Macaca fascicularis: one gene and its partners. The protein of the gene in region 1 interacts with the protein of each later gene in a biochemical or structural test. Links are inferred from orthologs where the notes say so. Each region holds a gene or a part of one and is shown in the gene's direction. Other genes may lie near its edges. The genes, in order: UBE2E1, UBR7, TRIM32, IPO11, RNF167, NEDD4 and UBR5.

The links.
Region 2: the proteins of UBE2E1 (region 1) and UBR7 form a complex in vitro, tested with the Homo sapiens proteins (2 studies listed by BioGRID). The link is inferred for Macaca fascicularis from reciprocal best matches to the Homo sapiens genes UBE2E1 and UBR7.
Region 3: the proteins of UBE2E1 (region 1) and TRIM32 form a complex in vitro, tested with the Homo sapiens proteins (2 studies listed by BioGRID). The link is inferred for Macaca fascicularis from reciprocal best matches to the Homo sapiens genes UBE2E1 and TRIM32.
Region 4: the proteins of UBE2E1 (region 1) and IPO11 form a complex in vitro, tested with the Homo sapiens proteins (2 studies listed by BioGRID). The link is inferred for Macaca fascicularis from reciprocal best matches to the Homo sapiens genes UBE2E1 and IPO11.
Region 5: the proteins of UBE2E1 (region 1) and RNF167 form a complex in vitro, tested with the Homo sapiens proteins (3 studies listed by BioGRID). The link is inferred for Macaca fascicularis from reciprocal best matches to the Homo sapiens genes UBE2E1 and RNF167.
Region 6: the proteins of UBE2E1 (region 1) and NEDD4 form a complex in vitro, tested with the Homo sapiens proteins (7 studies listed by BioGRID, with this or other methods). The link is inferred for Macaca fascicularis from reciprocal best matches to the Homo sapiens genes UBE2E1 and NEDD4.
Region 7: the proteins of UBE2E1 (region 1) and UBR5 form a complex in vitro, tested with the Homo sapiens proteins (2 studies listed by BioGRID). The link is inferred for Macaca fascicularis from reciprocal best matches to the Homo sapiens genes UBE2E1 and UBR5.

The regions. Positions count from the first base shown.
Region 1 is NC_088376.1:24,547,838-24,552,060, reverse strand, and holds the start of UBE2E1 (ubiquitin-conjugating enzyme E2 E1), read left to right. Parts: upstream 1-1,285; 5' UTR 1,286-1,417; intron 1,418-2,571; 5' UTR 2,572-2,604; coding exon 2,605-2,756; intron 2,757-4,223. UniProt on the Homo sapiens protein: Accepts ubiquitin from the E1 complex and catalyzes its covalent attachment to other proteins. Catalyzes the covalent attachment of ISG15 to other proteins. Mediates the selective degradation of short-lived and abnormal proteins.
Region 2 is NC_088381.1:161,207,798-161,212,285, forward strand, and holds the start of UBR7 (putative E3 ubiquitin-protein ligase UBR7), read left to right. Parts: upstream 1-1,553; 5' UTR 1,554-1,589; coding exon 1,590-1,739; intron 1,740-4,108; coding exon 4,109-4,242; intron 4,243-4,488. Other genes in the region: EKC/KEOPS complex subunit GON7, read right to left, coding at 1,128-1,335. UniProt on the Homo sapiens protein: E3 ubiquitin-protein ligase which is a component of the N-end rule pathway. Recognizes and binds to proteins bearing specific N-terminal residues that are destabilizing according to the N-end rule, leading to their ubiquitination and subsequent degradation.
Region 3 is NC_088389.1:41,394,196-41,398,425, reverse strand, and holds the start of TRIM32 (E3 ubiquitin-protein ligase TRIM32), read left to right. Parts: upstream 1-1,327; 5' UTR 1,328-1,376; exon of another isoform or gene 1,377-1,658; intron 1,659-4,230. UniProt on the Homo sapiens protein: E3 ubiquitin ligase that plays a role in various biological processes including neural stem cell differentiation, innate immunity, inflammatory resonse and autophagy.
Region 4 is NC_088380.1:67,935,101-67,939,579, forward strand, and holds the start of IPO11 (importin-11), read left to right. Parts: upstream 1-1,618; 5' UTR 1,619-1,771; intron 1,772-4,479. UniProt on the Homo sapiens protein: Functions in nuclear protein import as nuclear transport receptor. Serves as receptor for nuclear localization signals (NLS) in cargo substrates.
Region 5 is NC_088390.1:5,062,119-5,064,398, forward strand, and holds the end of RNF167 (E3 ubiquitin-protein ligase RNF167), read left to right. Parts: coding exon 1-66; intron 67-935; coding exon 936-1,007; intron 1,008-1,097; coding exon 1,098-1,178; intron 1,179-1,254; coding exon 1,255-1,556; 3' UTR 1,557-1,766; downstream 1,767-2,280.
Region 6 is NC_088381.1:32,300,700-32,304,429, reverse strand, and holds part of NEDD4 (E3 ubiquitin-protein ligase NEDD4), read left to right. Parts: intron 1-156; coding exon 157-211; intron 212-301; coding exon 302-360; intron 361-1,679; coding exon 1,680-1,745; intron 1,746-3,730. UniProt on the Homo sapiens protein: E3 ubiquitin-protein ligase which accepts ubiquitin from an E2 ubiquitin-conjugating enzyme in the form of a thioester and then directly transfers the ubiquitin to targeted substrates. Specifically ubiquitinates 'Lys-63' in target proteins.
Region 7 is NC_088382.1:111,905,294-111,909,023, reverse strand, and holds part of UBR5 (E3 ubiquitin-protein ligase UBR5), read left to right. Parts: intron 1-390; coding exon 391-482; intron 483-1,627; coding exon 1,628-1,774; intron 1,775-1,877; coding exon 1,878-1,996; intron 1,997-2,079; coding exon 2,080-2,206; intron 2,207-2,298; coding exon 2,299-2,428; intron 2,429-3,295; coding exon 3,296-3,456; intron 3,457-3,566; coding exon 3,567-3,730. UniProt on the Homo sapiens protein: E3 ubiquitin-protein ligase involved in different protein quality control pathways in the cytoplasm and nucleus. Mainly acts as a ubiquitin chain elongator that extends pre-ubiquitinated substrates.

The DNA.
Region 1 (4,223 bases):
GAGAATGCTTGTTTTCCTGGTTACTGGATATGCCATGGGCGTATATCTTGTGTTGTCCTGTAGTAACTGAAGCCACTGTTGCGCGGAAAATGATGGCAGTTTGAATGAGATAATTTAGAGTGAGCTATGGAAATCTGAGGCTGTCTCCTTAATGTACAAGACCTTGTATGTGTGGCACTGGTGTATCTGAATGGCACACATCTCTTCAGTTCCCTTCAACTGAAATGACAAATACGTGAGAAACTAAATCGTAATTTGACAGATTAATATTAAAAAAACAAATTTGGCAAAAATGCTACATAAGGAACAATTCAGAAGAACTGCTGATCATTTCAAAAATATTATTTGAATAGCATTTATATGTAGCTAACGAAAGCACTGCGATCCCCAGAACTTTCCATCCAATTTCCAAAAACCAAACCTTGTATCTAATGTAAAATGACACCAAAAATTCTAAATCCAGTCTAATTCAGTAGTATATAGCTTATACCCAGTGATTTCTCACATTCGCAAGCCCCGTTACACGTTGGTTTTACCTGTCACCAAAACCTTTGTATCACTCTTATAAAACCACATCACTTTCTATAAAAAGTGACTGGAAGAATCTAATATTGTAAAACTGCACGTGCCTCGCGTGACCTGAGCAGAAAATTCCTGGTTTGGGATTTTCTCACAGGCGTGCCTAAACTGACCTCTGCTCCTAGCAGGTAAATTGCTAGAAGGAGAAGCAAGTGTCAGTCCAAAGAAAACCCCTGTTGTGTGATTTTTTTATTCTCTTTAATCGCTTTTTAGGTGGAGTTCCCGCTGCATTCTCTAAAGTCTTTGCCACCACCAGATTACCATCTTTTCCACCAATTTGCCACCTCCCTACCCCTCTCCTTTCCAAAAGCCCTCACTGGAAAGAACTTTCTCTCGTGACCCCCCTATTCCATCCAGTTCCAATCACTCCCAGCGACCCCATCTCCATTGGCTTCCCCTCTCCCGCCCAGAATCCAGGTTCCCAAACCACTTAAGAGAAAATTCACACCCCTCGCCCCCTTCCCGGGCGTCCGGAGGAGGCGCTGGGGTGGGGGTGTGGGGGGGGGCACGGTTTCCTGGGGTCTCCTGGGTCTTCCTCGCGCACCCCCAGGAGGTGTTGCAGGGGGAGGGGAGCGAGGGTGGGTGGGACCGGGCCGGGTGGGGGAGGGGTGAGGGCGAGGAGGAGGAGGAGGAGGAGGAGGAGGAGGAGGAGGCGGCGGCGGCGGAGGAGTGGTGTGTGTGCGAGCGTGTGTGGCTGGGGGAAGCCATTGCCTGTTTAATAGTTGCTGTTGCTGCACTTCCGCTTCTCTCCCAGCGAGAGAGACACGAGTGGCCAGGCCCAGCCGCAGCCGCAGCAGCAGCCGCCGCGGCGGCACGGAGGAGCCAGACACAAAGAGAGGTACGGGGATCCCCCCAGCGGCCCGCCGCCCCCCGGCCGCGCCGCCGGGCCTCGGGGACACCCCTCGCCGCCTCCCCCGACTCGCGCCGCCGGGGCCGCCGGGCCGCCGGGCACGGGGCCGGAGGGGGGAGCGGAGAGGGGCTGGGGAGCCCCAGGGGTCCGGGGCCCGCCCGCGGGGGATGGGCAGGGACCCCGGGCCGCTTGGGGTGCGGGGGCCGCCCGCATCGGGGGCGGGGGTCATTGTGGCTCGAACTGTCAGCGCTGCCCCAAGAGCCCCCCACTGGCCACCGAGGGGGCCGGGAGCGGGGGTGGGGGGGAGTTGGGGGAGCCCCGTTTTCCCCAGGGGCGGGGGCTCACGGGGATTAACCCCTCCGGGGCGGAAGGGCTCATTGTTATTTCTTCGCTGCGGAGGCCGACCCCCCCCCCACTCCCCGCCGCAGCCCCTATCCCCCTCCAGGAGTGGCGATCGGGCGTGTGCTCCGGACCCCCTCCCGGCCGCGCAGCCGTGAGCGGGGCGGCCCAGAGGCAGGCAGGCCGGGAGGGGCGTCGGGGCGCGGCGCGGGGGGGCCTCGGGCCTTGTCGCCCGTGCCCCCCGCCGGCCTCTCCCTTCCCCCACCCGGGCACCCGCTCCCCGCCTCCGTCCCCCTGTTTCGGCTTCCTCTCTTACTCCTTCCCGCCCCTCCTCTCTTCCCGACCTCGCCAAACTCCTCTCGTGGCCCCACAGTCTCTCACCCGGGCCACCGGCCCCCCACCCCACGACCCCCGGAAAGCGGACAAAAACAGCCCCGAGGCCGGCCGGCTGCCGGGACCTTCCCTCCCTGCCCCGCCGTGGCGCCCCGCGCCCCCGCCCTGCCCTCCTTCGCCTCCCGGGCTACTCCCTCCCTGCCCAGCGGAGAGCCCCGGGGGGCGAGGGAGGGGCCGCTCTCCTAGCTCCAGACCGTTTTCCCACAGCGTTCCCCACTTGGGGCCAAAAATAAACAAGCCGCGTCCGATTTGCAAAAGCCTTAATGGGCCTGCAGACTTTGAAAAGCGAGTGGAGGGCGGTGGGCGGCCGCGTGCGCCCCTGGTCAATGCCCTCCTGACAGCACCTGAGTTCCTTATTTACACTGGCTGCATGGTTTGTGTGTTTCTGTTTTGTTTCCCTCCCCCTGCAGGGGCTGTTTGCGGGGTGGGGTGGGGGGTTCGCTATGTCGGATGACGATTCGAGGGCCAGCACCAGCTCCTCCTCATCTTCGTCTTCCAACCAGCAAACCGAGAAAGAAACAAACACCCCCAAGAAGAAGGAGAGTAAAGTCAGCATGAGCAAAAACTCCAAACTCCTCTCCACCAGCGCCAAGAGGTACCGTACTCTTTTTTTTTTTCCATAGGCTTCCTATTTTCCGAACTGCCTCTTGCTGCATTTGGTCTGCCTCCCAATGAGGATAGCTTAAACGCTCCTCATGGTTTATGTGTTCTTAAAAATGAAAGAAGGGCCTTGGAAGCCCTAATTATTTTCTCTATTGCTGCTTCTGTTTTTTTTTTTAATCATTGCTCACATGCAGCTATTGTGGCTTGCCTCTCGCATTTCTTGCTGAAGTTTGTAAGAATCTTCATTACTTTTATTAGTGACCCCCAAATCTGATTTCAGATTTCTTGTCCTACTAATGGTCGATCTGTGACCTTCCCCAAGGCCATCATCCCATTTCTTAATTACTAATACCAGCCCAGACAACTGCATCAAAATGAATTCTGTGACCATTTTACCTTCTCCTCACCTGTTGCATGGATGATCTTTTCTAAATAGAGCTTTCTTCACAAATTGCATAAGGAATAAAACTCGTATTAGCAGGTACAAAATTGAGTAGGTGAAGACGTGTTTTATGGTGGAATTTAAAGAGATTTTTCTGAGAGTTGAGGCAAATGAATGAATCAGTAAGTGATTATAAAATAGTTATTCTAGGTTATTTTTGTGGTTCTCTTTTGTTCTCTTTAAAAACTTCAGTTTACCAAATTTCAGGGAAACTTGTCTTTTTTTCATGCTATTTGCTGTCCTCATGCTGTGAAAATGTTACGTTGCTTTATTTTTTCAATTTAAGCAGTCTCTCTTTTTCTTTATTCTTTTCCTCTTAAGGCTCTGGAGGTAGCTACTTGTTACTCCTGCCATCCTTCAGTAATATCCTCTGATCGCCATGACCCTTAAAATAATCTTTAGTGGATTCCTAGGAGCCCTGAGACACCCTTTCATAAATCCTTCTGCTATCAGAGTTAGGCAGTTGTTAAAAAGGTGGCAAACCAGGAAGATAGTAAGAAGTCCAAATGATGGGTTAGATAGGGATACCCGTCTTAAAAATTTTTAAAATAAAGTGGAACATGAGACTTTAGATCTCTCCACTGAGTAGTGAGCCTGAAAGTCAGGGTTTGAGAGTTTGTTCTGTCATTTTGCCTGACTTGTAATTTGAAAACTTGGCAGTGTTTTGGTGACCTAACCATGAGCTGATGAATGAGTGACTTTTTAAAAATAGTGTGGAGGTCTTAAGTGGCAAGGTGCCTCTGCAAGATTGTTCTCATTTTTATAGGTTTGGTTTGATTGTACAGCTTCTCAGGAGGCCTAACTGACCCTCACTGATTAGCCCTGTGCGGTTTTCCTGGAACCTGGCATCTACTCTGCCCACTTGGGACAGGCCCTTCCTTAACACTGCCCCCCACCTCAATCCTCTAGGCTCTTTGATCCTCATTCACTTTTTGGCCTCACGTGCTCAAGCCGGGATACTTGCTTTTGGTAATTTGCATTTTTATATTTTGCTGGATATCCCTGGTGTACATGAAT
Region 2 (4,488 bases), on another chromosome or scaffold:
CCTATTTCTGCATTCGAGGCAATTTTTAAAAAATAATGCAGTTAAACTTCACGTTTCTACTTTCAAACTGCACCTACAAAACTGGAAAGGCAAGGGAGTCTCTAGGAGTTAATACATGTTAAAATTAAGTCTGTCCCACTCCTTGGAACCTGTTCCTACTCTGCGATAGATTGTACTCTTCCAAATATGTCTGTAGTTTCACACCTGATAAAACTCCTTTTTATTCAATACTCCAGCTCAAAAGTCTTATCCTCTTTGAAGCCTTCCGAGGGTCTCTGGGTTTGCAACACTTACAGAGGGCCATAGAACCACGTTCTTTTTTTTTTTTTTTTGAGACGGAGTCTCGCTCTGTAGTCCAGGCTGGAGTGCAGTGGCACGATCTCGGCTCACTGCAACTTCCGCCTCCCGGGGTCAAGCGATTCTTCTGCCTCAGCCTCCCCAGTAGCTGGGATTACAGGTGCCCGCCACCACTCCCAGCTAATTTTTGTATTTTTAGTAGAGACAGGGTTTCACCATATTGGCCAGGCTGGTCTCGAACTCCTGACCTCGTGATCCGCTCGCCTCAGCCTCCCAAAGTGCTGGGATTACAGGCGTGAGCTACCAGCCTGGCCACTTTCACTTTTAATAAGAGTGTCTGCCTGTATAATCCCCTTGTGTTTCACAAGGGCAGGAACTGAGTCGCATTGACCTCATTCTTCCTCCAGGGCTCAGCTCAGGGTTTGGCAAATAGTAGTAGGCATTCGGCAAGTTTTTTAGTGAAATAAATGAAATAGCGATGAGTCGTGGAAATGTTTGAGTAGAAGCAGCCCAAATATAGTGATAAATGCCAACAATTTTTATTTTTTAAATTATCTTTGAAATAACAATGGAAACGGGGTCTCGATATGTTGCCCTGGCTGTTCTGGAACTCCTGACCTCAAGTGATCCTCCTGCCTCGCCCTCCCAAAGTGTTGGGATTACAGGAGTGAGCCCCACTTCGCCTGGCCCGCCAAAAATTTTTAGATGCAATTCTTCTTTCCTCGAGGCTCACTTTGTCCAAGTCTGCCACTCTACACGGGCTCCCCAAGCCAATTTCCCCTGGCTCCCGCCCCGTCCTCCTGTCGCTGCAGCACCGTCTCAGAGCTCACCGTCCAGGGCCTCGTCTGGAGCCGCCGCCACCCGGTGCTGCACTTCCGCCTGTACCAGGGGGCCGAATAATTCCGTTACCAGCTCCTTCATCTGGGCCACGCCAGACAATAGGCCCTGGAAAGGGTCGCCGTCACCCGGCGCCTCACAGGACACCCGCAGCTTCTGCGGCTTCCCTTCCTGCCCGACATACTCTCCCAGCAGCTCCATGGTGACCACTAAGCTTCCAGAACACGACACCGGGAAGCGCCACCCGGAGGCGGAAATCAGCCCGTGGCCTGCGCAGGCGGCAGAAGGGAGAGGAGTGACATCCGTTTGTCGGAAGTCGCTCCTCCCCCTTCCTTCGCCTTTTTTCCTTGTCATTGGTTCCTGGCACTCGGGCCCCGCCTCCTCCGGCTACGCCCCTCGTGGCCGCTTTTCCCGCCTCCGCCGGGGCCGAGCCGCGGTTCGGGTGACAGTTGAGGATGGCCGGAGCCGAGGGCTCCGCTGGGCGGCAGTCGGAGCTGGAGCCCGTGGTATCGTTGGTCGACGTCCTCGAGGAGGACGAGGAGCTGGAGAATGAGGCGTGTGCTGTCCTGGGCGGCAGCGACTCCGAGAAGTGCTCCTACTCGCAGGTGGGCACGCGGCCCGGGCCTTGTCTCCCGCGGCTCCCGCCGAACCTCCCCTTCCCGGCCCGGCTGTCCCTATTCCCGCCTGCCGCAGTCGTCTCCCCAGTGGTGGTCCGGGGCCGCCGTTAGTCTGCCGCTTCCTTACCCCAAGCCCACCCTTCCCTTTTATCCCCAACCTCCTGGGCCCCCTTCAGCCTGTGTCCAGCAGGGGCCCCCATCTCCCCTCTCTCTAACTCTGTCCGGCCAGCCAGGAAGGACCCTGGAGCAGCTGCTCTGTCCGTCCTCTCCAGCCTCGTCCTGGTGCACCACTGCTTTTCACGAAACCAGCCCGCGACCTCTCAGATCCAGACATCTTTGTCCCTGCTTTTCCCATCCTAAGATTATTTATTTATTTATTAGGGACCAAATGGGAGACGTCAGGTTAAAGAGATTTTCAAATCCATAGGGATTTGCGGTGAGCTCCTTGACAGCTAGTTCCTCTGCAATTTAGTTTGACAAGTGCTAGCTAGTACTTTTTCTTTCTTTTTTTGGCAAAATGGAGCAAGTACCCATGTCTGTCTGCAGTCTGCCCTCCTCCCCTGGAAATAGACCGGAAACAGAACAGCAAGTGGCTCTGGCAGGGGAGGGGAGAGAGGAGAAAAGGATCTATTTGGCATTTGGAAGACGTTGTGAGTGAGCAAGTGTTTGAGGGGGTGTGATGTGTTTAGTGACTCACCCTATACTTCGAGGCACAAAAATGGAAAAGGATGGGTAGGAAGAAGACTGACAAAGGATAAGAACTGGCAGGAAGAAGGGTTACCGAGGCAGAGGGGTGGATTGGAACACTGGGGAGATGAGAGGAGAGACTTGCATTCATTATGTGGTATGAACTGAGGTCATAATACCAGTTCTCGTTGTTGACCAAGTTTAGTTTACACTGCAAAGTGCTAGATTGTTGAATAAACCTGGTATCCAGACATAGCCCCAGGTACTTTAAAACCTTTGGTCACCACTAAAACAATTTTTCGCCTGCTTTCCTTAAAAAAAAAAAAAAAAGTTCTAAGTCTGTATGTAAACTATTTTTGAAGTGTAGTTACCTTTATAAAATGGATTCCCTTAATGTTTTCTTTTTATTGTGGTAAAAAAAAAATATGGAAATTTGCACAAATCATGTACACAGCTTGAAAGGAAAGTGTGCATGTTCCCACCACCCAGATCAACAAATAGAACATTAGGAGTGCAAAAGGCTTATTGGAAAAGAACTTAAAAAAAAAGAGAAAAGAAAGAAATAGAATTTTACTGGCATCCCGGAAGCCTCCTTGTCTATTCTTCCTCCTTCCTAGAGGAAGGTAACTATACCTATTATACATATTCACTTTTTTTTTTTTTTTTTGAGATGGAATTTCACTCTTGCCACCCAGGCTGGAGTGCAATGTCATGATCTTGGCTCACCGCAACCTCCACCTCCCGGGTTCAAGCGATTCTCCTGTCTCAGCCTCCCGAGTAGCTGGGATTACAGATGCCCGCCACCACGGCCAGCTAATTTTTATATTTTTAGTAGATGGGGTTTTTTAGAGATGGGGTTTCACCACGCTGACCAGGCTGGTCTTGAACTCGTGACCTGAGGTGATCTGCCCACCTTGGCCTCCCAAAGGGCTGGGATTACAGGCGTGAGCACTGCACCCAGCCTACATATTCACTTTTTAACATTTTGTCACATTTATCTCCTTTTCTACTTAAAATTTGTTGTTTTAAAATTTTGAACTATTTAAAAATAAGTTGCAGACATGATGACACTATACCTCTAAATACTTCAGCATGCATCTCCTAAAAATCAAAGAGATTCTTTGCATGTGTTGATTCTCTCTTTGGTGGATTTACAAACATTTTCCAGGATGAAAGTGTGATATTACTTACATAAACCTATACATATGCTCCTGTGTTTTCACCTGTTAAAATGATTAAACAGATTCATTTATTCACAGCCGACTGACAAATTCAGACATCCTATCACTTTAAGAAAGGAGTGCTGACTTGTGTCATGGCTAATGCTTGTAATCCCAGAACTTTGGAAGGCCAAGGCAGAGAACTGCTTGAGCCCAGGAGTTTGAGACAAGCCTGGGCAACATAGCAAGACCTCGTCTCTGCAAAAAATAAATAAATTAGGAAGAAAGAAAAAAGTGCTTGCATGAAAAGCACTAGTATAAAAATGAAACATGCAACACAACTGTGTTTTGGTTGATGCTCTGCTGTGTAAACTTTTTAGTCTTAATGGTTTTTACAGAAAGATCTTGACCACAGATAATCTGATTTTAATTATTTTTCAGTTCCTAGTGTGGGTATTAGGTAAGCCATGCTATTACATTAATTCTCTTTTCCATTTTGGGGGCTTTTAGGGCTCAGTAAAGAGGCAAGCACTATATGCCTGTAGTACCTGCACCCCAGAGGGAGAAGAACCAGCAGGAATTTGTTTAGCTTGCAGTTATGAATGTCATGGAAGTCACAAACTATTTGAGCTATACACAAAAAGGTAAACATAGTCAGAGATTGTTACTAAATGCTTTTGAAGTGTAGATTCTGTCCCATCTACACTTTTTCCTTATCATGTTTTTTCATGCAAAGCTGTTGTACAGTAGTGAAATTTCATGTAATTATTTTATATAATTGGAGTTTCCAGAGCCTTTAAAAACATAATATGGTACAAACTCAAACTACTCATCTTTCTCTACCATCATTTTACTTGTGTGTGTTTGTGTGTATGTGATATAAATATTTG
Region 3 (4,230 bases), on another chromosome or scaffold:
CAAAGTCTCCCTAACTAGTCTAAGTGAGAAATCATTTGGCACCACCTCTCCCTTATCCCCTACCTGCTAATTGCAATTTTTCAAATATAGTTATCATTAAGTACAAACTACCATAATCTTGGTTTATCTTCTTGGCAAACTTCACTTAGAAATTTAGAAAATGGGGAGAAAGAGTAAACAAGGTTAAGAGTGGGTTCTCAGATAGAATTGGGTACAAATCTGGGCGCCAATACTTAGGCACAGGTGGCCTTGTTAGGTGTAGGTTAACCATCAGCTGCCTTATCTCATGAGGTCCTTATGAGGATTTAGTGAGCTATGCACCTGAAGTCCTTAGCTGTAGCCAGACAGCAAGTGTTCAAAGATGTTAGTCATTGTTTTTGGTTACTGTTTTATCATTGTGCAGGGTCACATAGCTAAGGGGAATTTCAAATCCAAGACCATCCTACTTCAAACTCCTTTGTGCTCCTAAGCTGTACAGTATAATCACCTTGGAGAATAGGTGATTGGCCCCAAACTACTTCGGGGAGTGCAGGTCGTGGCTAGTCAGTCCTGTATCAGACCTCGTCCTTGCCAGATGCCTAGTGCCCTAGATTCCCTCAAATCTCAGGCCAGGTCACCTCCCAACTGGTAAGACTCCTCCACCTTCACCTCTGACTCCCCAAAACTACACTTGGTTTGGATTCCCGGGTACCTTCAGCCTGCAGGGACAGGGGCTGCAGCGTGTACTCCCCATGTCTGCCTCTGCTGTCGGCCTCCCAGCTGAGTAGGCAAAACGTTCCTTTACAGAGCAATGTGTTCATGGATAAACTTGTCTCTAGTGCAGCGCTCTATCAGAGCACAGGACATGGGGCCAAAGCACTGCCCTTCCTAGGGAGTCCCGGTTCTCGACCTCCCCAGAATGGAAGTTTGATTCTTCCGTTGGCCCATTTCTCAGATGGAAAAACAGATTCAGCAAGGTGCCAACGCTTTGTTGAGGACTACCCTGGAGGCTACAGTTTTGTGAAAGGGTAGACATTTGGACTGGAGTCAGATACGCATTCTGGCTTATCTCCTGACTTACTGAGTGAACTTGAGCAGGTCTCTTTCGCCCATGGGTCTCGGTTTCTTCATCTGCACAAAGGCGACGGAACACTGGATTACGTGTCGCTAAGGCCCCGGGTTCTCAGAGGAAAGCTCACCCCTGCAGGGCCGCCTGGCCCCGCGCGCTGGGGCCCGCTGCACTACAAGCCCCAGCATGCCTCGGGAGGCGGGGCTCAGTGACGGACAGGGAGCTCTGCGAATTGGCGCCCGGCAAAGGGCGCTCAACGGCGCGTGCGCAGAGGACGGCGGGCGGGTGGGCTGGCGGCGGTGGACTCGTCGGAGCTGCGGGCGGTCAGGTAGGGGGCGGGAAGGAGGGCTGGGGACTAGGGACCGCGGCCGAAGTCGTGGGCCGTGGCTCAGCGGCCGGTCGGGGGAACGTGCCGGCGTGCAGCGGCCGCGCCCGAATGGCAGGGTCTGGGGACCGGATCTGAGGGGCAGGACTAGGGTGGGGGTGGGGCTGCCAGGGGCAGGCTCGGGAGGGATTCGTGGGGCTGAGGAGATCCGCGGAGATGGAGCTGGGGGAGGGGAGCGAGGGGCTCTGAAGAGATATGCGGTGGCAGCATCTCGGGAGGTATGAGGTAATGTGGGGGCCCTGAGGAGGAACGGGGTGCAGCATGTGGGAGATGGGAAGGAATCAGGGCCCTGGAGGGACCTGGGTGCAGAATTTCAGAAATATGAAGGAACTGGGGGGCCCCGATGAGATTTGAGGGAATCTGGGGGCGCTAGGCATCTGGCAAGGATAGGGTGTAAGATGATAGGAGCAAGGTCTAGGGCGATTCTAAGTGCTATTGAGAAAGGGCTTTCGGAGTGGGCTGAGGGTGAGATAGAGGGGGTGGGGTGAGTTCTTGGGGGACTCTTGTTAGCAGGAAGAAGGGAGCTGGCTGAGTTGTGAAGGCAGCACATGACATTCAGTGCATAAGAGGAAGGAGCAGGGTTTGAGGGCGGCACAGTGCCTGATGGAATGCAGGAGATGGGGGTTCAGATTGAGGGAGAGCAGAAATCTGAAGTGAGGAATTAGGGCGTTGAACTGAGGTGCGGAGCTGAGTGCGGCAAAGATTTGGAAATAGGGATTAAAGGATCTGTGTCCGAGGGATTTGAGGCATATGAGTGAGGAATTGATGAGGGTTGCGTTATACAGCCCCAAAGATTGGAATTTGGTATTGTAAGAGGGTTGAGGACAGGGTTTGGAGAGGATTGAATCGTGGGGTGGAGATGTCCTAACTGGGCTATAGAATCAAAGGACACTGAGTAGATATGTGGATTGGTGTCTTGGGCTGCTAAAGAGATTTTCCTTAAATCGCTGCATGGGAGACGGGGGGAGTTTAGGGGACCCAAGGACCTAAAAGTAATGTATGAAACTCTGGATGAGTATATGAAGATGAGCAGAGTTCAGGTGTTCAGGAACAAAGTGATAAATCTTCAGTTCAGATATCCTGAAGGAGTGTGGTAATCCCTGTGAAGGGTAGAATCTTCTTCATTTATTAAACAAAGATCCGTTATCATAAGGCAGGTATGGTATTGCCACTAACTACACTCTGACCACCGCCTTCTCCCTCCCCCTCCCCCGGTCCACTGAAAGTGGTAGGCTTTGGGGAAGAAGAAATGGAACTATTCAAGGTCATCTGCCTAAGCCCTTTTTCCTTGTACTCCCAAGCTACCATAGCAGATAGAATGTGAGACCTCCAGGGGAATGAGTGGAATAATTTATCCTATATAAGATCCATTGCAGCTTGAAGGGGCAGTGGCTCTGTGAGTGAGATGTTTGGGCTCGGAGAGGGACAAAAAAAACAAAAAAATCAAACAACAACAAAAAAAGGGAACCCTTATGTATTGAGCATTTAGTCCTGTGCTAGACTGTAAAGCAGTGGTTCTTAATCAGGGGTGGCTTTGTCTCCTAGGAGACATTAGGCAATGTCTGGAGATGTTTTTTGGTTGTCACACTTAGGGTGGGGGATACTACTGGCCTCAAGTGGGTAGATTAAACATTAAATATAATGTTTTATGTTAATGTTAAACATTTGACAATGCATGGGATAAGCCCCTCCCCCCCAGTAAGGAATTATCCTGCCTAAAATGTCAGTAATGCCAAAGTTGAGGCACTCTGCCCTAGAATCAGATACCCTGGGTTCAAGTCCTAGCTCTATCTCTTCCTGACTTTGTGGCCTTGAATGAGTTACTTACCACCCAGTGCCTTGGCTGTTCATCTGTAAAATGGGGTTATGATAACAGGACCTATGTCACAGAATTGTTGTGAGGATTTAGTGAAGTAAATTAGCATGCCTAGGATCTGGCACATAGTAAGTTCTCAAAGTCTAGTAATTTTTAGTCTTGTATCTACTTCTTTACTCAGTTTTCATGACAGTCCTTCTAAGGACTGTATTCAGTTTTACACATGAGGAAACTAAGGCTTAGGAAGTGACTTGCCTAAGTTTTCATAGCTAGGAATGACACAGTTAAGCTCATACCCAGATCTCTGTAACTCTGTATTTTCCCACTTTCCTTGCTAGGACCCGCTTAGTCTTATTTTCTCAGCCCATTCCCCTCTAATGAAAACGAGGATTGCCCAGTGAGAATCACTGACTATCAGATTGAACTCTAAAGTTGGGGGATAAATCTCTCTGACTAGATTGGGAGGAGCCCTGGACTTTGTTCTTGGTTTGTTCTTAGACCAAGACCAGGGGCTAGATAAGGAGAGGAGCTTGAAGTTATCAGGCAGGATGAGGTGCAGCGGACTATGGGGTGAGGTATGGAGGCTGTTGGCTTGAAAAAAAAACCTCACAGCAGGGACTGAGGCTGAAGGCACAGCAGGGACTGAGGCTGAAGGCAGTCATACTTTGAAGGAGAGTAACTACTGTTGTGTATGGTCTCTTTTGGACTGCTTTTCCCTGGAACAGAATAGTAGCATTGGCTCTATCATTTCCAGGACTAGCTACAGCATTGCTGAAGCCAGTTCAGAAACAAAACTTGACTGTATCTGACAGCAAGACTTAGCTGGAATATCCATGCACATCCCTAAAAGAAAATATGTCATGGGAATTCAATCAGTCCTGTCTAAACTCCTTACTCTTTCTAATTTCCCATGTTACCTTGGACAAGCACTTGTCCTGTCAGCTTCAATCTATTAAAAATGCAAATGATTATCATTTGTTG
Region 4 (4,479 bases), on another chromosome or scaffold:
CTCGGAATGCGGAGCTTGGTTCAAATCCTAACATGGCCTTTTACTAGCTGTTTAACGTTAGGTGGGCTAACGTTTGATTTCTCTGTGCTTCAGTTTCTTCATCTGTAAAGTGGACATAAAGAAAATAGCTACCTCGTAAGGATCGTTCTGAGGATTAAAATAAATAATTCCCATAAAGATCTTAAAACTGTACCTGGAATATTCTAAATGAGCAATAAAGGTTTTCTATTATTAATCTTTATGAACACTCTACTATTTCCTTACAACTTCTCTTATTATTATTATTATTTTGAGATGGAGTTTCATTCCTGTTGCCCAGGCTGAAGTGCGATGGCATGATCTCGCCTCACTGCAGCCTTTGCCCCCAGGATTCAAGTGATTCTCCTACCTCAGCCTCCCGAGTAGCTGGGATTACAGGCCTGCACCACCATGCCCAGCTAATTTTTTATATTTTTAGTAGAGACAGGGTTTCTCCATGTTGGTGAGGCTGGTCTTGAACTCCTGACCTAAGGTGATCTGCCTGCCTCGGCCTCCCAAAGTGCTGGGATTACAGGCGTGAGCCACTGCGCCTGGCCTTATAATTATTATTTTTAAGAAATATGTAGTTGGTGTGTATTTTTAATTAATTTGTTTATTTTGAGATGGAATCTCTTATTTATTTATTTATTTTGAGACAGAGTCTTGCTCTGTTGCCCAGGCTGGAGTGCAGTGGAGCAATCTTGGCTCACTGCAACCTCTGCCTCCCGGGTTCAAGCGATTCCCCTGCCTCAGCCTCCCGAGTAGCTGGGATTACAGGCGTCCAGGCTAATTACTGTATTTTTCGTAGAGATAAGGTTTCACCATGTTGGCCAGACTGGTCTCGAACTCCTGACTTCGTGATCCGCCCGCCTCGGCCTCCCAAAGGGCTGGGATTACAGGTGTGACCTACTGCGCCCACCCCATATTATTTTTGAAATGGGTGTGTGTGTGAACTCTCTATATGTCCCAGGCTGGCTTCGAACTCCTGGGCTCAAGTGATCCTCCTGCCTCAATATCTGGAGTAGCTGGGACTACAGGCACGCACCACTGCGCCTGAGTAAGTTCTCTTTTTGAGGATAAGAACATTTAGGTGACTATGCTAGCTTTTAGCAGAGGCAAGCAAAACTGGATTTATGTCCTTTTATATTTTTCCACTCTTTCTATTACTCAGGAGTAAACAGCAAGCAATTTGGGTAACTTAAAAAATAAACATTTGCGGGAGGGAGGGTGGACTGATGGGAGTAAGATTCTTTAAATAACTCTTCTCTGCTGTGACGGATCCGCAATTGATATCTAGAATAGAAAGCGTGAAATGGTTCTGATTGAAGCTTCAATCAACCCGGGAAACAATTGAGCTCCCTGGGAGTGGGGCAAACCAGACCTATGGTTTCCATGGTGACAGAGCCGGCTAGTCCGGACTCCCGGCTCTTTATACTGCGCAAGCGCTCACAACTGATTTGGCTACCCCGCGCCTTTTGGTTCGAAGAGAAAGTCCCTCCTTCCCCTTCCCACCGTTCGCCTATCGCCCTCGCTCTTTGCTAGTCGCATGCGCGCTGGGCTCCTGTGACGTAGTTTTCGCGCGTCCGTGTCGTTTGGAACCGCGACGCTAAACATGGCGTGTTCCTAGAAGCCGCTTTCGGCATCAGTAGGCGGCGGCGTGGGGACTGGCAGCGTGGGCGCGGGACCAACCGACGCCACTTCGTGTTGGGAAGTGGGAGCGGGAGGGCCGGGCAATTCCCGACCGAACCAAACGGTGAGGCCCCGGCCCTAGAGCCACAGAGCGCGCGGGAGTGGAAGGGAGTGGGTTGGGCACCCGAGACCCGAGAGGCGAGGGAGGAAAGTGGGGCTACCGGGAGGTGAGGGATAACGGTAGCGAGGCAAGGGCGGCCTGCAGACTTGGCTGTTTGCGTAACCTTAGGAACCCCGGGAACTGGGGGCTGGCCGAGGAAGCCCGGGAGTGGGCAGCATGGTAGCGGAGCAATCAGGGTGCGAGCTGGGAGGGACAGTATGCTAGGCTAAGCAGAGCCGAGTGTACCCATCGTGGCCGCGGTTGCGGACCTGGGTGATGTATTTGCCCTTGGGGGATAGGTGGTGCAAAATTTGAGATAAAGTGGTTATCTCGATTATAAGACCGTTGTGCATTGTTACTGCGCACACGACCTTGTTGCTAATAGCAATAGTGTGATAGCTTTAAACGTTTGACCCTTACGTGCTTTTAATGAAAGAGGGAAGGTAGTTGTCCATTTGTAGAGAGGAGCTTCATGGAGAGGTATGGCCGCCAATTCTCAAGCTCAGCGACTCCTGCAGATTTGTATTTGGGGGTATTTGTGATTCAGCAAAACTACTTTTGCTCATTGCTTGTGTCATTTTTTCTTTATTATTTTGTGACATAGTGGTTAATGAGAGAAGTACTCCTATCTGAAAGTGATTTGACTAAATAGCAAGGACTGGTAAATAAACTACTAGTGCCAAGGTTGCAGTTGACATACCTCCTCCCCTCCATAATTTAAAGGAGCTCAGTTATAGTGCGGTAGTGCCCTTCAGATTTCGGTTATTCTTCAGAAGGAAGTAAGGAAGAGCAGTTTGCAGCCATAATGCTTTCCCCCCCTCGGATAGGAATTTTCCTCCTCCATTTTCACGTTATTTCAAACTTCTCTGTTCAGTAGAGAAGCATCAGATTAAGGGCAGGGTGACTCTTCTATAGGAGACATCCATTGCATGACACATTTTACATCTTTCATTACTGAGAAAAATTTCGGTGAAATTAGAAAAATTTTCATTTTCCCTTTTGGTTATGATAGGACTGGTATTTTCTCTGTTTCTGCAGTAACCTAGCACAGGGTATAGTAGAAACAATTATAGTAATGGTTTGTGGCCATATGTTATAGCCCCAGGGTAGGAGGGTGGTCTCTGCCCTAGTCGCACTTCCTAAGGCCAAAGAGAATTTTCACCACAAACACATTTGGCTGTGGTAATATGTTAGATGTTTTAAACAGATGTGTAAAGATTATCTGATCATTAATAGAAAAATCATCAGATTTTGTGATGTTTGAATATATTTACATATGAATCAAACCAGAATGCAGCATGATCCTTGTAGGCATGTGGCTATTAAAATACACTGAAGATTTTTCCAGAAACAAAATTTTTTTTCCCAGCAATAAAAATATTCAAATTTTGAATAAAGTAATGTTTGATAATTTGGATTTTGACCTTTGTGTTATATATTTGTACCTATGTGTGTGTATGTATTTAACCTCACTTCTAATTTAGTGTTATTGATGGTAATATTTTTTCCTTTCTTTATCAGCTTCAAATAGGGACTTAATTTCAGAGCATTTAAGGAATGGCAAAACACATTTAGTGCAAGTGTGAGTCTGTAGTGTCTTTGGTTTGCCGACTGTCAGGCTGATTACAGATAAGTACAGTTATAAGCTTTGTAGAGCTTAAGTTGCATCAATGTTCTTTACCCTTGCTACTCAAATTGTGTTGTATAGCATCACCTGGGAGTTTATTAGAAATGCATGATCTCAGGCTCAATCCAGAGCTGCTGAATCAAAATCTGCAATTTTAACAAGATCTCTAGATTAAAGGAATGTTCAATAAATCTTGAGATGCACTACTTTGGTTGGTAACAGTTGAAGAACACTGAAGTAATGCACAAACCTGTATAAAAATTTATGGCATCATTTATTTTAATCTGAGGTGATCTTACACTGATTATCCAGTCTGATGAAACTGAGGCCCAGAAAGGTAAATGCCTTGCAAAAGGTCACACATACCTAGATTTATAACCCAGATTCCAACTCATCCAGTGCTTTTCTTTTGCTGATTACTATCAGAGCTTGTTATATTAAAAATGAACTAAAATTCATGAATGACAGGTGTTCATTCAATAACAAACGTTTACTGGGTACTGGACAGCCAGCCCAACAATACTGTGTGTCCCTGCTACGTGCTCCTGTTTATCATGGTGGCTAATAACCCACCACCTTTCCTCTTTATTTTCTTTGAGATGGGGGTCTCACTGTTGCCTAGGCTGGAGTGCAGTGGTGTGATCTCTGCTCACTGCAACTTCTGCCTCTGGGGTTCAAACGGTTCTCCTGCTTCAGCCTCCAGAGTAGCTGGGATTACAGATGCTTGCCACCAAGCCTGGGTAATTTTTGTATTTTTGGTAGAGACAGGGTTTCACCATTTTGGCCAGACTGGTCTTGAACTCCTGACCTCCTTAAACTCCACCCACCTCGGCCTCCCAAAGTGCTGGGATTACAGGAGTGAGCCCGGCCCGCTCTTTACTCTTTTTTTTTTTTTTTGAGTTGGAGTTTTGCTCTTTTTGCCTAGGCTGCAGTGCAGTGGTGCGATCTTAACTCACCGCAACCTCTGCCTCCCGGGTTCAAGTGATTCTCCTGCCTCAGCCTCCCGAGTAGCTGGGATTACTGGCATGTGCTACCGCGCCCAGCT
Region 5 (2,280 bases), on another chromosome or scaffold:
GGCTCCAGCGGAATCGACTTACCAAAGAGCAACTGAAACAGATTCCTACACATGACTATCAGAAGGGTGAGGGGTTAGGGGAGGAGAGGGTTTTTCCCACCGTTTACCTGGTTCTGAAGGACTTTGAGCCCAGAAGATAGGGTATACAAAGATGGCAGTGGCTGGGCACAGTGGCTCACGTAATCCTAAGTGCCTGTAATCCCAGCACTTTGGAAGGCCGAGGTGGGTAGGTCGCTTGAGCCCAGGAGTTTGAGACCAGCCTGGGCAACATGATGAAACAAAAAAATCCCACCACTTTGGGAGGCTGAGGCAAGTGAATCCCTGGACCCCAGGAGTTCCAGGCCAGCCTGGGCAACGTGGTGAGACCCCATCTCTATAAAATATAACAAAAATTAGCTGAGCATGGTGGTGTGCGCTTGTAGTCCCAGCTACTTGGGAGACTGAGAAAGGAGAATCACTTGAACCAGGAAGGCGGAGGTTGTAGGGGGCTGAGATTGCACCACTGTGCTCCAGCCTGGGCAACAGAGGGAGTCCCTTTCTCAAAAAAATAAAAGTAATAAAGATGGCAGTAAGAAATTTTCAGCTTGAGATGCTGTCTTGTCTTGTTTTTACCCATAAATACAGTGAAGATGGGAGAGATGTAAAGCAAAGATGATTAAGTGAAATAATTGTGGGAAATAATAGAGGGACAGACTTTGCTTATGGGGGATGTGGAGAGCAGAAAAATGGGAGGAATGGGGGAGGATTCAGTTAGAGAAGGAAGAAAGTGGTACTGTGGGGCTGGGGCTTTAGGCCCTGGGGCCTCCAGTGCCCGTATAAGGCTATGGCAGAAGCTCTGCCCATTTCCGTCCCTTCCACTCCGTATCTCCACCCTCACACCTCCCCAAAAACCACTTCCCTTCTTACCTCTGCTTCTCTTTGCTTGTCCCTTTTAGCCCTAAATTCTTCCATGTTCTGCCCTGACCTTATCCTGCCTACCTGTCTTAGCTCTTCCACTGGCTTTGTAGGTGAGGGAAAATTTTCGCAAGGCTTTAAAAGCCTTAGCCCTGGGTCACGATGGCTCAGTGAAGGACTAGATTATTTTCTTTCTGTCCCAGGAGACCAGTATGATGTCTGTGCCATCTGCCTGGATGAATATGAAGATGGAGACAAGCTGCGGGTACTCCCCTGTGCTCATGGTGAGGCCCTCACTGCCTGCCCATGCCCCTCTGCCACTGGCAGCCACCAGGTGCTTCACCTTGTTCCTCTCTGCAGCCTACCACAGCCGCTGCGTGGACCCCTGGCTGACTCAGACCCGGAAGACCTGCCCCATTTGCAAGCAGCCTGTTCATCGTGGTCCTGGGGACGAAGAGCAAGAGGAAGAAGCTCAGGGGCAAGAGGAGGGTGAAGAAGGGGAGCCAAGGGACCACCCTGCTTCCGAAAGGACCCCACTTTTGGGTTCTAGCCCCACTCTTCCCACCTCATTTGGTTCCCTAGCCCCAGCTCCCCTTGTTTTTCCTGGGCCTTCAACAGATCCCCCACCCTCTCCTCCCTCTTCCCCCGTCATCCTGGTCTAATAACCCTCTACATGTACACTTCTGGTGACCTATTTGCACAGACCGTCTTCTTCCCTCCAGTCTTCTAAGTTGAGGGATAGGGGACATTCCATCCTAAGTTGCTCCCTTACCCACACCTATCCTTTTGAGGGGCATTGGGGTGGGGCTGGGGCAAGCAAAGGGACTGGGTCTTCACTTCTTGGGCTAATAAAATTGTTTTTTGTGGACTAAGGAAGGGTGAGATAATTTTTAGGTGAACTTAACCCTTTGGGGGAATCACCCCTTTAGCCATAAGGAGCAAGAGAATGCTGAGACACTAACCTATAGTCATGGGGACAGCCCCAGCAGGCATTTGCTATGACTCAGGGGGAGCCCCACCCACAAGGATGACTCAACTAGCCCTGCCTTGCCTGCAGGCCTGCACCCATTCTCTGGTCCAGATGGCTCTATTCCATTATCCACCAATTTAACCAGCACACTGAGGACTTAGGCCTGGAAATGCCACTGTGGAGGGGCAGGGCCACCTGGCCAGAAGCTCAAATTCTTGCACCTTGTAGTACCTCAACCTTCCTGCTCCCAAGCCATGATAAAGGAGGCAAGTCACAGTGCCTGTCCCCCATTCTGACACCCAAGCTCAAATCACACAGCACCTTGTTAGAATCTTTTTTATTCAGAAAAAAAAAAAAAAAACCCAAAAAACAAAAAAGTTTTCCAACCACACACAGGAGGGGTATGGGTAGGGGGA
Region 6 (3,730 bases), on another chromosome or scaffold:
CTCAAAAAAATAAAAATAAAATAAAAAATTTAAAAAGGTCGATACCTTCTAAGAATCGAATGGAATATGCAAGTTAACCATACAACCAGTGCTGTTTTTCTATCCATTCATCTAAAACCCTATCCTAACATAATTGAAATACATTCTTCATTATAGCCAGGATGGGAAGAGAGAACTCACACAGATGGAAGAATCTTCTACATAAATCACAGTATGTGCAATGCGATTTTTCGTTATGTTATTTTTTGTAATAAATTTTATCTGTGAGAAAGTACACCATTTTTCTTTTTCTTCCCTTCAGATATAAAAAGAACACAATGGGAAGATCCTCGGTTGCAGAATGTAGCAATAACTGGACCAGTAAGTCTCTCTGTGCTGATGTGCTCTGATGGGACTGTCCCCTCACCTGTCTCTTCAAAAGCAGATACTCAAGGGCATAACCCTACAGGCATTGAGAGGAAAGCACATTGGCCATTCTGTCTCCTCTCCCCCATTTCCCATACTCCAAGTCTCAGTTATTTGAAAAGATTCTATGACGTCATTATCTTTACCCTATGCAATAGCAGTGGGAGACAGGTGAGCCAGACAGTCGGAATGCTAAGGCAGTGTGGGCTGCTGAGCTCAGGTGGGTGCCTGCCACTGTCTGAACAAGAATGTTGACAGTCCTCCACAAATCAGAGAGGAGCAGAGAGTGTATCCAGATGAGGAAGCAGCAGCACCCTATCCACTCCAGGGTCATTCTTAAATTTTTTTATAGAAATCAGGCCAGGCTCACACCTGTAATCCCAGCACTTTGGGGGAGGCCAAGGCAGGTGGATCACCTGAGGTCAGGAGTTCAAGACTGGCCTGGCCAATATGGTGAAACCCTGTCTCTACTAAAAATGCAAAAAATATTAGTTAGGCATGGTAGCAGACACCTGTAGTCCCAGCTACTTGGGAGGCCAAGGCAGGAGAATCACCTGAACCCAGGAGGCGGAGGTTGCGGTGAACTGAGAGATTGCACCACCACATTCTAGCCTGGGTGACAGAGCGAGACTCCATCTCAAAAAAAAGAAAAAGAAATCATTGTAAATGCCCAGTATGTAAGACACATCCACACTTAAGTACAAATATACCATATATGATAACTGTAGTCAGATAGGAAAATTATTATCCTTTTTTATAGCTGCTTCTTCCATTTTATTCAGATTTTGTTTTGTAATTCATAAAAATAAAACTGAAGATACCTTTTTTTTAATTACTATTTACTATCTCAACATGTAGTCCTTTAATGGCTCAAAAAGGCAATTCCTTGGAGTTCAAGGAAAAAGTACGCTTTTCACATTGCCTGTTTAATGGAGAAATCACTTTGAAAGTCTCTTTAGAAATGGAAATTTTTGTTTCTAGTATTTCTCTACCTGGAAGAAATTTCCTATTTCTGGCATGCTGCATTTTGAGAATATTGCATAATGAAAATTACAGCCATAGGAATTGCTGAATATAATTTTGTCTTAAACAGAGAAATTAAATATTTTAAAGTTTTGTATTTGTTTTTCTTCTAATTAAACTTTTCTTTCCAAATATTTTTCTTTTCATGCCCTTAACTTATGTTCATAAAATACCCTGCCGGGAACTTTAAAAATTGTTCCAGAATAAAAACAACCTAAACTTCTTTATTTTTCCAAAATTTCCCACTAAAGGCAGTGCCCTACTCCAGGGATTACAAAAGAAAGTATGAGTTCTTCCGAAGAAAGTTGAAGAAGCAGGTTAGTGATGTTTGTGATAAATACTTGAGTCATCAATATATAGATGGAAAGTAATGGGAAATTTTGTTTAAAGTAATAATTTGTTCTATATTTGTAACAACTTTGAGTGAACAGTTTTTCATAGAGAAAGGATGGTTATTTTTTGTGTAGCTGTGATATATCACTACAGACCACTGATTATTTTATGTCTTTATTTTGTAAGATATTTTATAATATAGAAAAATGGCATTTAAAGTTTGCTTTCCAGAGCTCTAACCTGATGTATCCTTGTGGGGTTTATGGGGCTTGATCTTTGTAGAACCTGAGCAAGAGTGGCTCAGGAAATTATCTTCTGGCATAGTCTTTGACTCTGTTGGAGGAGTCTGGATTTGTTTTATGACTTTGTTGTTTTCTAGCGGTAGTCATTCATTCTCTACACCTTCAAATGTAATGTCTCTGCATAATTTAAAAATACAATCATGAGTGGAACTGTGCTCTTGTGACTTGTCTCCGTATGCTTATCAGTTATGTTCAGTACACTTTTTCCCATCACCACAAATGCAATATGTTTGGAACTAAACTCATCATCTGGCCATCTATTTCATTTCTGTTGGTGTCTGCTAGTTTTAGTGCCTCTTACTTGCTCATCCTGTCCTCCTCTGCCTGCAGTTTAGGAATACTACCACTAGGTGGCCATATTGGGTTATACTTTCTTGCATTCTAAGCCAGAAGCTGGCTTTCACAAAGATTCAAGATGGTGGGTCGGCTACCTCCGATTTTCACCCAGATTTTTAACAAAAATAAAACATGATAGTTTTTTTAGTGTAAACATTTTATGCCCTAATAAAATCCTTAAATATCATCAACTTTCTAAACTCATTTTTAAAGATAATTTTGTGGGCCAGGCGCAGTGGCTCACACCTGTAATCCCAGCGCTTCGGGAGGTTGAGGCGGGTGGATCACTTGAGGTCAGGAGTTCCAGACCAGCCTGGCCAACACGGTCAGACCCCCGTCTCTACTAAAAATACAAAAATTAGCTGGGTGTGATGTTACCCGCCTGTAATCCTGGCTACTCGGGAGGCTGAGGCAGGAGAACCGCTTGAACCAGGTAGGCAGAGGTTGCAGTGAGCTCAGATCACTTCACTGCACTCCAGCCTGGGCAACAGAGTGAGACCCTGTCTCAAAGAAAAAGAAAAAAGAAAAGATAACATTGTGTCAAAATTTCCCTGGAAATTTGTTTTCTACTTCTAGACTTTGGGATTTTAAATATTTGCTGATTCATTGTTCTGGTAAATATTTTCATTCTTAATGAGAATATGCTGGAGGAATAGAAGCACTAGCTTCTCCATTTGCCACTCTAAGTGGTTGAAACATGTTGTAGTATCTAATTGTTAATGTCTTCCAGGCGGCAGGAGATGGGAGGCAATGCCATTACAGGCCACAAAATACAAAAAAAAAAAAAAGATAAAAGCAATTATATTTGTTGATCTCTCACTGCATACCAGGCATTCTTCTTAGAAGTTTACATATGTTATTCATTTAATGTCTACAATAACTCTGTAAGGAAGGGACTACTATTACATTTCACAGATGAGGAAACTGAGGCACAGAGAATAGGTAATGTGATCAAGTCCCATGGTTATTAAGTAGAAAAGCTAAGTGGTCTAGCTCCAGATCCCATGTTCCTAAGCAACATGACATATCATATTGGTGACTAAGAGAATTAAGAGAGAAATTAATTAATTTGTATGGAAATTACCCAGAATGCAACAAAGGTAGGTAAAGGAATAAACATATAAAAGAAAGGGTAAAGACATGAAGTCGGCCAGGCGCGGTGGCTCACGCCTGTAATCCCAGCACTTTAGGAGGCCGAGGCGGGTGGATCACAAGGTCAGGAGATTGAGATCATTCTGGCTAACACAGTGGAACGCTGTCCCTACTAAAAATACAAGAAATTAGCTGGGCGAGGTGGCGGACGCCTGTAGTCCCAGCTACTCAGGAGGTTG
Region 7 (3,730 bases), on another chromosome or scaffold:
TTCAGCTTTGGAATTGTTAAGTCTGATATGAAGAAAGTTGATTTAATTCCTAAGTAAATGAGGCAGAAGAGCTGATTGCTCAGTTAAATATGGCATACCATGAAAAGTGGAAATTTTCACTGGGTAGTATAATCTGATCCGCAAATCTTGATACAGATTTTATAACTACAGTGCCTTTTTGGGGATGATACAAATTATTTTTTTCAACTGGTAATATTTCTATTTGTATATTATAAACTGTGTATTTGCTGTAGCCCTTTATAAGTCCTAGTTTTCCAAAGCACAATAATTTTGAGATTGAATTGTTTTAGAAAATACCAGAAATGATAATTATGATGAGATATACGCATACTTATAATTATTCCTTTAAAAGTACACTCTTAATTTTAGGATATTTTTGAGTGTCGAACTTGTGGCTTGCTGGAGTCACTTTGTTGTTGTACGGAATGTGCAAGGGTTTGTCATAAAGGTCATGATTGCAAGTGAGTACAATTCTAGTTTTCTTTAGTTTAATATTATAAACTGTTTAGATTTATATTGCTGTATGGAAATCGATAGTCATGTTTTAATTTAGAAAGCATGAGGTTATGTTTCTCTTGTTTAAGTCAGTTTATGTATAATAATGTGATTCTTGATTTAAACTATACTGTGAAATGTTTGGTTTCTTTGCTAGTTCTAACATTGCCCTCCTTAAATAAAAGTAGGTGATTATACATTGTAACTAGGATCAGATTAGTATTTTGAGAAATATATCTACAGAATGTTCCCGAGTGTATTATGCAGCAGAGGTCTCAGGTGCCCTGTAGCAGGGTGTACTAGGAGAAAATTGCCATAGGCCTGGAGGGAATCATGGTGAATGTTTGGACTGTGTCTTTCTTAAACTAAATGCAACAATCTTTCATTCAGCAACAGTTACCACAACTAGTTTTGTTGGTTTTCACAGACCTGAGAAGCAATGAAATACCTAGCACTAACATCTGTGGTGTTTTAGGATTATGGATAGGGACTTCAGTATAAATGGCTACAAATGTTATAATAGAGAATTGGACTGTAAAAACCATCTACTATACCATTAAGTAATTGTATAGGACAAGTGAAAAATTTTAATAGATATTGCATTGCTTATTTATAATTTTTGTTAAAAGAATTCTGGTTGGTATTTTTGTCTTCCTTATTTTAAGCACCTAAAAGTGTGATAATCTGTTGTTATTGATTGTTTGCCAAGGGTACTAGATGCCAGGGTGGTGGTGGTGAATAGTCCTGACAGTGTTCCCAATCCTATCAGAGGCCACAAGCAAGAAATATCTGCCCATAGAGTTATAGGGTTCATTAGGTCATATGGGAGGACCACTTGAACTGGACTGGAGCGGTGGGGAATTAGGGAAGAAATTCCAAAAGTGGCTATACCTTAGAGTACCTCTTCTCATAGGAATTCTGTGTTGGTTTATAAATGTCATTACTACCAAGTAATCCTTTTGTCATATAAGCTTTGACAGTTATACTTTGCATTTAGGAATTAACAAGGGCTCTCTCTGGTTTCAGTGAGTTATACCTTCATAATGTCAACATAAACCTTTGTATGTTTAAAAACTTTCAGTTTTTGTACTTGTGTATAAATTCTCTATAGACTCAAACGGACGTCACCAACAGCCTACTGTGATTGTTGGGAGAAATGTAAATGTAAAACTCTTATTGCTGGACAGAAATCGGCTCGTCTTGATCTACTTTATCGCCTGCTCACTGCTACTAATCTGGTTACTCTGCCAAACAGCAGGCAAGTAGGATTTTTAGGACTTACAGTAAGTTAAATCAGAAGAGCGCAGCATACCTGAGTAGCTTTTCGGCCTCCCTTCTCACGACAACATTCTATTTTGCAGGGGAGAGCATCTCTTACTGTTCTTAGTACAGACAGTCGCAAGGCAGACGGTGGAGCATTGCCAGTACAGACCACCTCGAATCAGGGAAGATCGTAACCGAAAAACAGCCAGTCCTGAAGGTGAGTAAATTAGACATTTATGACACTTGTGGGAAGCAATATGTTTTATTTTTGTTTTGGTCACTATTTCTTTTTCATTTTAGATTCAGATATGCCTGATCATGATTTAGAGCCTCCACGATTTGCCCAGCTTGCATTGGAGCGTGTTCTACAGGACTGGAATGCCTTGAAATCTATGATTATGTTTGGGTCGCAGGAGAATAAAGACCCGTACGTATTCATTAAAACCTTTTTAGCTTTATGTATTTCCTACATTAGTGTAGACCTTTTACAGTTCATTCTGTTTTTCCTCCCTCCTCAAGTCTTAGTGCCAGCAGTAGAATAGGCCATCTTTTGCCAGAGGAGCAAGTATACCTCAATCAGCAAAGTGGCACAATTCGACTGGACTGTTTCACTCACTGCCTTATAGTTAAGTGTACAGCAGATATTTTGGTAAGTTCTTTGAATATGTATTGCAAGTACCTGAAAAGTATGCTTTTAAAGTACTCTTCTTTGCTGTGAAACTAGGAAAGAATTTAAACCTCAAGATCCAGTGCTAATGAGGTTATGGTAATAACACACTCAGATAGGGATGGGGTGGGATTGCATCTCTTCTTCTCTCTGGAAAGCCATAAAACTATCAGTGCCCTGAGAACCTGTCATAAAGAAATTTACAATATGAGAAAAATAAAGGCATGTCACAGAATAATGTAAAATTTAAAAACAGAAAAATACTTTTATCAGCCCAATAATAGTGTAATCTTGAATCAAATTATAACCTGACCACTTACTGGAATGTGATGAAGTAATTTAAAAATAAATCTTATTGTAAATAACATTAAAAACAACAACCAAACTATGAAAATTGGGTGTTTTCTGTAGCTAATATTTATACAAGAAACTACGCACAGAAAAGAGACTAGAAAGTAACAGGGGTTCCGTGAGGGAGAGATGGGATTATGAATTTATTCATATGAACAGTTGAGTCTGCCTTGCTGTTTTGGAAAGTGCCCCAGACTGAGTTAAACATATTCTTCCTCTGATTTGATATATTTGGTATTGTTCTTCTAAATATTAGTTGATATACCGAGGACTATGGGACAAAAAATAAGAAATCATACATTTAGGAATCACTATATGTCAAGCACATTGGCAGGTATATTTCATAAATTGACCTTATAAATGTTTTGGTTAAATTTGTTTTGAGGTTTTATTATGAAATGTTAATGCTTAAAAAACGTTAGAACTTATAACTTTATGAGTGTCTAAACATCGTATAAAATATCTTAACATTAATAGAGTGAATATAATTTTGTAAAGCTTTTAGATACTCTACTAGGTACACTAGTGAAAGAACTCCAAAACAAATACACACCTGGACGTAGAGAAGAAGCTATTGCTGTGACAATGAGGTTTCTACGTTCAGTGGCAAGAGTTTTTGTCATTCTGAGTGTGGAAATGGCTTCATCCAAAAAGAAAAAGTAAGGCATCCTTTTTGATTTTGGCTTGGATACCATTTTCACACAGTTTTTGTGATAGCAATTTATGTATATGAAGAGATAGATTGCTTATATTTCTCTTTTTGTTCTAGCAACTTTATTCCACAGCCAATTGGAAAATGCAAGCGTGTATTCCAAGCATTGCTACCTTATGCTGTGGAAGAATTGTGCAACGTAGCAGAGTCACTGATTGTTCCTGTCAGAATGGGGATTGCTCGTCCAACTGCACCATTTACCCTGGCTAGTACTAGCATAG